Arabidopsis thaliana: one gene and its partner. The protein of the gene in region 2 interacts with the protein of the main gene of each other region in a pairwise test. Each region holds a gene or a part of one and is shown on either strand. Other genes may lie near its edges.

Evidence for each region. The genes of interacting proteins can lie anywhere in the genome.
Region 1: the proteins of AT1G55460 (region 2) and AT4G00980 interact in a two-hybrid assay, tested with the Arabidopsis thaliana proteins (one large-scale study listed by BioGRID).

What each region holds. Positions count from the first base shown.
Region 1 is NC_003075.7:421,928-426,475, forward strand, and holds AT4G00980 (zinc knuckle (CCHC-type) family protein), read right to left. Parts: upstream 2,662-4,548; 5' UTR 2,654-2,661; coding exon 2,330-2,653; intron 2,213-2,329; coding exon 2,122-2,212; intron 2,008-2,121; coding exon 1,917-2,007; intron 1,766-1,916; coding exon 805-1,765; 3' UTR 551-804; downstream 1-550.
Region 2 is NC_003070.9:20,705,547-20,709,546, reverse strand, and holds AT1G55460 (DNA/RNA-binding protein Kin17, conserved region), read right to left. Parts: upstream 2,241-4,000; 5' UTR 1,981-2,240; coding exon 745-1,980; 3' UTR 520-744; downstream 1-519. Other genes in the region: AT1G55450 (S-adenosyl-L-methionine-dependent methyltransferases superfamily protein), read left to right, coding at 2,722-2,898, 3,313-3,939. UniProt on the Arabidopsis thaliana protein: Promotes the copper deficiency response by direct interaction with SPL7. Acts with SPL7 in a common pathway to promote copper-responsive genes and alleviate oxidative stress during copper-limiting periods. May promote SPL7 function when copper is limiting.

The DNA of each region.
Region 1 (4,548 bases), on a different chromosome or scaffold from region 2:
GATAAGCTAGTGGAGAAACGTTTTCTTTATATATGGATACAAAGCATCAATGGTCACGACCTTACTTGAACTATAGGCTCGTACATCTGTTTTCTTGAGAAAATTTCTCAAGAGACAGGCCCTAAACCCTTGTTGATGAACCGTGACCGTGCGGCTTGAGCGTGATTGACGGCTACGATTGTCCTTGGATGCATCCGGTGCTGTAGAGGATGGTTACTCGGCTCGGTTCTCCCTTGCCGGGGTGGTCGCACGGCGGTCTGACAGGTTTCATTTTTTTTCCTTTTCACCCTGAAACTTTTAATTTCTTCTATTTTTCACCCGCTAATTTTATATTACTCTCCATCTGGTCCTTTTTAAAATTTCGACGTTCAAGTTTAATTTTAGAGGCTGAGAATATCTTCCATAACGCTTGGGACAAAGAAACTCTTAATTTTTGGTTGTGTGTTAAGTATTGTCACCTCAATTGATGTCAGTTTATTTGTTTGTATATCAGTTTTGAGGTTTCTGTTTTTATTTTGGTTCCTCAAAATAGGATTTAAAAAGCAATTTTGACAAAAAAATTATCATTCATAAAAGTATACTTTTACATTAAATCAGGCCAAAACTGATCTATTGGTCATCTCTCTGTTCTTCTTTTATACATTTCAGTGTCATAAATCTAATAGGCCAGACATATGGACAAGCTGAAAAAAGGTCATAAAAGGACTGCTTCTGAATCCTGAATCAACGGTATTCAAAAGACTTACCTCTTTAAGTATATCTGTGAAGAGATATAAACATTTTGGCTTCAGCAATCATCAACTACTACCCCCTATCATTGTTTGTTGTTGCTTGAGTCTCTGATTCCACAGGTGCAGCGACTGAGGAGTTGATCCGGTTTGATTTTCCGGAAGCTCTCTCATCAGATTTACTACCCCAGCAATGCTTTGCGAGATGTCCTTTCCTCCCACAGTTGTCACAGACGATGATGACTCTCTCGTCTCTCTCAGGTTCTTTCCTCTTCCAACCTACGCTCTGAGATCCTCTATGTGTTGTTCCTAGACTCGGTGTCCTTTCCATCTGAGAGGAGCCTGTGGCTGGTCTATATGTAACCCCTTTTGCTCCATTTCTGAGAAGCTCTTCCTCAGCTTTTACTCGTTCCATCAACATCCAGACTGGTAAATACTCCTCTTCCATTAACCTGGTGCAGAAGCCTCTCCAAGACGGGGGAAACTTGGAGATGATGGTACTCACATGAAATGCCTCATCAAGAAACATACCAGCACTCACTATGGAATCCGCAATCTTGTTAAAGACTTGGACTTGCTCGAGTATCGGTCTCTCTTCCACCATTCTGAATTCAATGTACTTTCTGACTTGTGACCTCTTCGATTTGGATTCATCACACTGGTAGACCCATTTTAACTCGTCCCACAATTCTTTGGCATGCTTAAATTTCTGAGAGTATCGACGGTATAGATGATCTGACAAGGAGTTCATCAAGTGAGTATAGCACAGGTAATCATCTCTCAACCATTTTTTCCCCGTAGCATCAGCTCGAGTTATTTCCCTGGGGTTGGTTTCAGGGCCTTGAGAGCTACCAATACTGGGACAAGGTTCAGAGAGTACATAAGTCAGCTTCAATTGCTTCAGAAAGAGTTCCATCTGTGAAGCCCAGTAAAGATAACTCTTTCCATCAAATCGTGAAATCTTGATAACAGAAAAACCGTGAGAGCTGTCCTTATCCACAGCCTCAGAAGTATCTCCATTTCGTGCTGCTTCAGATCTGCATAACGTTTAATAGCAAGATAAGCAGCCTACATTGCTAGCCAGACAGTAATGCCCTATGCCACGATGATTATATGACCATAAAACACTAAAAGCAATGCCAGGGAACATGAATCTTTATAGACTTAAAATAAGGTACACATTCTTACTTTAGTTTTGATTGGCACTGCTTAATACCGTCCTCTATCGCTGCAAAATTCTTCTTGATTACAGACCATTGGTTAGTTGACAAATGTGCTCCTGACAGAGAAGAAACATCTAACAATTGAAATCAACAGGAGCATATCTAAAACAAAAATGGCTACTTATAGCTTCATAGTCAAGACCAAGACACCAAGTTGTGTTTCAAATTACCTCTAAAAGCCTTTCCATGTTCCTGAGAACCAATCGATAGAAAAGGTTGGCCTCTGTATCTTTGAACCGTCGCATTTTGCTTCTCCGATAACTACAGTTAAAGACCAACAATTTCTACAGTGACCACTGAAAAACTCAAAATCGAGATGATCACAATCTCTACTCTATACAGTGAATCAAACATAGAACAAATAGGCAAAGTCGCAACCTTACAAATAAAGCGCTCATCTTCACCACCAACGGAAGCGGCAGCAACAGAAACTGTCTCATTTTTCGCCGGAGCCACCGTCTCCGGTACGAGTGCTTCACCGGGAGTCGATAGCAAAAAGACCTCAAGAACATCTCTGACTAGCTTCTTGTGATTGGTTCCCGATAAGTCGATACCGAGTTTAGCCGAAGCGTCAAGTCGGAGTTTGAACTCCGTCATTTGGTCCATATCAGATTCACTGAGTATGCTCTTCACTGTTTCCTCGATTTTTTGTGTAGCGACAATCTCCATAGTTTCACCAGAATCAAGCAACGAATTCTCCATTTCGCCCGAAAAAGAAGAAAAAAAAGGATAAAGAAAAAGATTTCGCAGTAGCGTCGAGTTTTGGTTGTTGGCCGGCGTTATATTTAGGGTTCATAAATCGCCGGGGGAAAAAATTTGGCCGGAGTGTGAAAAAAAGAGGTTCTACCGAGAATTGAACTCGGGTTACTGGATTCAGAGTCCAATGTCCTAACCGCTAGACCATAGAACCTTTTTGCTATAGCTGTTGCATTTAATACTTTATATATGCAAATATATATATATGAGTTTTTTTTCCTTATCTATATATCTTTTCTGTTTTATAATACGATATATGAATACATGGGTGAGATACGAATACGATTGAGAAATATATGGGTGAAATACAGTTTTTCTTCACGAAGCCGATAAGATACTAAGAGTCGAATCCTTCTAGAAACTAAACCGACAGAAAGCAAATTATTTTTGAAAATTAAGCTCAAACAAAAGAGGCTAAATATAAAGATAGCAAGGTAATAGTCATTAACATTTGTTGTGAATAATCTAGTTTGGGCTAATGTTAATCTTGTTTTACTTGTCTTCTCACTGCATTGCAGCTTAAGAAATTAGTATTGCATGCTGCGAGCTCAGACTCAGCCAGAGGGCTAACCCAACAGATTTTGATGCCTAAAACATCTTTAAGCTCATTTAAAATTCTTAAGCATTTTAAATCTATTTATAATTAAAGTCTCAAAAAAACGAAGGTAAGGTTCGAACTGTCCACGAAAGAGTCACTAATCTATGAAACAATCACTAGACTACGAAACATTTTTAAAATTTGATGCCCTTTAATATTATCTATAATTTTAGGCGCGTAAAGCATGAGTTTCACCAACTTTAGCCCAGGGCCGGCCCTGCTCAGCCATAAGAGAAGCAAAAGATGTAATGCAAAACTCCAATACGCAGTAATGATAACAAAAAAAAGTTTGTTCGTTAAAGCTTATCAATGCTTACAAAACATCAAAACCAACTTGACATGTGATGGCAGTAACAAAATCGAGAAGGCGATGCTAAAAGTAACTTCATAAACTAGATTGATCAAAAGTACTCATAGCTTCGGAATCAACATAAGACACCAAATATGTTCAAGTCACCTTTAAAAGCAAGTTAATAGCCAACAAACAATGTGCATTTCACATTTCGCTTCTCCAATAACTAATGCCTAACAATTTACAGAAAACATCACTTCTTTCCTCGACAATCCATTGTATTATTTTCGTGAAATGTCATCATAGAAGAAGCACTTAAAATGAAAATTGGGTTGGCCCATGAATTTGAATTCTCTAACCCAAGACCAAAACCCATAAAAGTTATTTACGACCATCGAACCACTTTTTTTTTTTTTTTTTTAACGGCAAACATTTTTCTATTAATTAGCCCAAATGGGCTTCATAAACAGGTACAACTTGAGGCCAAAAGCCCACTAATTGCAAACATTAAATAGACAATATGATGACACATGTATGCAATGTGGAGATTGCAGCGTAGATCAACGTTTCAGCACATGCCCCGTCACTGCTTCGCCGGAGAAATCTTCCGCCGGTCAGCAAATGATTCAGCTCCTCCATGAAACTTTCTACCCACATTTAGTTGTACCGAATGCCTTTTGCCAAGGATCACCGGAAATAGTCTATTGGAGTTAGTTTGGTCACCGGAAATTTAAACTTCAGCTGATTAGGATTAGAATATTCCTTGGAGGACCATTAAAACATGACGTGAACCCCAACTCGTCATACTCTTCTCCAATCAACCACAACACCTTGATCTATCATCCATGAAGAACCGATGCCCTTACGCTTTTATTAGCATAGCGAGGAATTTTCCTTCACATGGAAGAGTAATCAAGCATCCAATGAACACATTTCCATCTAAAAACCTCC
Region 2 (4,000 bases):
AAGTCTTTTCTCCCATGAAAGCACATCGGTTCCTGAATGGCTTTCTCTAGCGGAGAGTTTATTACCGATTACTTAAATAAAATAGTGTTTGTGGGGGGGAAAAAAAATTAGTCTCCTACATTTATTGAAATTTCTTTACTTAATTAGATCGCCAAATTTATGAACTTGTTTAGGTCAATAATTTCGATGGTAAAAACTAAAATCATAAGACAAAAGAAACTCAAACCTTTTTATATGATTTAACTTATAGAATAACTTGTTACATATGATATGTTTGTATGAAAGAAAGAAAAGAGAACCGAGAAAAATAAGAGAATGAAAAGATGAAAGAACAGAGAACAATTTCAAAGATATCTTATATAGTAGAGAAGTTAATGGATAACTTGGTTTTATTAAAATGTCGAATGCAACATTTCTAATATTCTAGTTAGGCTGCCTATGTGTTTAACTTCATGCCTTTCATGACATTTCATCTCAGTACTTGGAGTTTACTATTCAAGCTTCGTTTGCAAACGCACATTCAAAACATCATAAGATTTCTCGAAGATACTACACAGTAGCCATACATAAAACAATTCGTTCTACAAACCAGATCGAATAACATGTGTGAAATAGATTCATCTGCAGTACCTTTTTAACGCGGCTAGCTATCAGGAAACAGAGTGCTTCACTTGTATATAAAAAAAAGAGGTTCAAGCAGAAATACAAGGCATCGTAAAACCCGATATGGTCTAAAAGATATAACTAAGCAAGTTTGCATATGTCCTCGTACTCAATGGACTTGATGACTCTTCCATCATAGACACCTTTCTCGATCTGCACTTTAGCACAGAACTTCTCTGTATCCACACCCAACAACCTTGCATTCGAACCACGATATGCCCCATTCACTATCTTCACCATCCCTCCAATTTGTGGAAGCACAGTCTCTAGCTCCTTTTGATCAACTCTCAACACATGTTTAGAATCAAGCATTTTGATCTCCCCAACATAATTATCAATCACTTTCTTCACAACACCTTTTTGCTTATAATACCCTTTCTCTGCCAAAGCCTTACTCATCACCTTCACAATGATCCCTTCGAACAACCAGTAATCTTTCCGATTCATCCTCTCCTTCTTCTTCTCTTCCTCCTTCATCAACTCATCCAAAGCTGATCTCCTCTCCTTCTCGCTCCTCCCGGAGTCCCCACTTCTCTTCCTCTTCTCCCCTCTCTCAACCTTGTCATTCTCTTCATCCCCAAACAAAAGTTTCGAGCTTTCCCCTCTCTCTTTACCCGTAGCAACCTGTTTAACACCTCCACCAAGAGCAAATCCAACCTTGACCCCACTCTTCAACCTCAAGTCTTCATCTTTCTTCCTCTCATCATCACCATCATCCACAACTTCATCATTACCACTGGTTTCACCTTCACCACCACCACCATTCAATTTCTCAGCAGCTCTCTCAATCTGTCTCTGAATCTCCCTCTCTTGCTTCTCCTCCTCAGCTAAATCACTCTTAACTCTCTTATTCTTCAACCTCTCCTTAAACAAAGTCTCAGAATCTCTATCTATATAAGTAATAAACCAACCTTTAGGAGTTTCTTCAACCTTACACTTACCAGTTTTCCCAAGATGCTTGATAAACTCCGTCAACGTCGCCCACTCCGTCGAATTCATGTGAACATGATGTCTATCGTTAATATACTCATTGTAGACAACAGTGGCAGCGATACGAGAGAAACGGTGGCTCCGCCTCATCAGATCGAGAAACGTCTGCTCGAATTCTTCAGAGTAACCATCGACAACACGAGTCGGATTCTGCCCAAAAACTTGCATCTGCCTCTGGTGAGATTCGCTCATACAATGACACTTGAATCCATTCTCGTCTCGGCATTGTTTCTGACACATCTGACAATACCATCGAAGCTTTTGAAGTCCTTTGGCTTTAATTCGATTCGCAATCGCCTTTGGGGTTAGAAAATCGTTCTTACCCATCGAATCTTCTTGGGTTTGTCGAACAAAATTAAGGTGTTGGGAATTGAAATCTAGGGTTTCTCAGGTAACAACCACTGATCGAGAATGATGAAGATTCAATCGGCGAAGATTAGCTAATATATTGATTGATGATAAACCGAAACTCATACCAAATATAATTGTTTATCCTGAATACCGAATACGACCCATCAATTAAAGCCCATACAATACTGGGCCTATAAGAAAAGAAATGTAAATTGTGGGGAAAAAAAAAGGTAAATTTACAACTTTATAATATATGCCTCAAATAATTTTAACAGCTTGTTTGGTCTTATATCTTGTGATCTTTGACTTTCAGTCTTTCACAATGGAAATTATTGAATCTTGCATTTTTATTGAATTAATTTCCTATTTGTAACAGAATACTATTATTAGAGATATATTGATTGAGAATCGTAAAAGATAATGTAGTTGTGTGACAAGTGAGATTCAAGAAAAGTCAACTATATACAACGAGAGTAGCAAAAAAGAAATAAATTCAAATGATTTGGAAAATTGAAGAGGGGACCAATTCTTGGGGGTAAGGAGTAGACTCGTCGCCAGAGCTGACTTTGAAAACTTGACTTGGTCTCATTCTTCTCATCTACTGCAAAAACCACAATCAGTATATAACAACAACACATGAGTGACTTAATTCTCATAGACCAATACAGAGATACAAAGCAATAGAACAACAAGAACAAGAAAACAGAGAAAAAAACAATGGCTGCCTTGTCGGATAAGTTAGCGGATGCTTACCAGAACGCAAGGCCGAGATATCCGATCGATTGGTTCACGAAACTTGCTGCTCGAACCGGTCAGCACAAATCAGCTTGGGATGTTGGTACTGGCAACGGTCAAGCAGCTATTGGTGTAAGCTTCTTCCATCTTGTTCCAAAAGTTTCCACTTTCTTATGTACTCTGCTTCACTTAGATCTCTCAAACGATGTCGTTTTAATCCCTCTAGAAGAACACAATTATGGATTTATTAGCTTTAGTTGAGAGGAGAGAAGAAGATGAATGGCTTCTTTCTAATGAGTTTATGATTTAATTAGAGCATAGATTTATCTCAATCGATACTATTAACGTCTAATGTTAGTGATGATTATGAATGAAGTACCAATTATTAACATTTTCACATTTTGAGAACATGATTTCTCTTGTTTTATTTTGAGAAAATAAAAGTTACTAATCTACCTCATTTATAATTATTAAACAAAAAATTTGTTTGGTTCAAATTTGTAATGGTATTTGTCATTGTACTATTCACCTAAAATGTTAATCAACATTTACCATGGTTTAATTTAATTGCAGCTTGCAGAGTATTTCGAGAAAGTTACAGCAACCGACATAAACGAAGCACAGTTAAAACGAGCGGTAAAACACGAAAGAATCAGTTACCATCACACTCCCACAACAATGTCCGAAGACCAAATGGTTGCTCTAGTCGGCGGAGATAACTCCGTTGATCTAATCGTGGCAGCACAAGCCGTTCACTACTTCGATCTCGCACCATTCTACAACGTAGCAAAACGTGTTCTTCGCAAAGAAGGAGGATTAATCGCAGTTTTTGTCTACAACGACATAATCATCTCTCCTGAAGTTGATTCCATCATGAAACGTCTTGTGGACTCCACGTTCCCGTTTAGAACTCCTGTAATGAATCTTGCTTTCGACGGTTATAAAACGTTGCCGTTTCCGTTTGAAAGTATAGGGATGGGATCAGAAGGGAAGCCTATAATGCTTGACATTCCTCATAAGCTATCGCTTAAAGGGTTTATCGGTTTCTTGAGATCGTGGCAGCCCGCAATGAAAGCTAAAGAACGTGGAGTTGAGCTTGTGACTGAAGATTTGATCTCCAAATTTGAAGATGCTTGGGGTGATGATGATGATGTTAAAGATATTTTCTACAAAGCTCATATGATTGTTGGAAAACTTTCGGTAAATAATTCATTTACTTAATTAATATCTATATAGTTTTGGTATAAATGAATCATTCGTT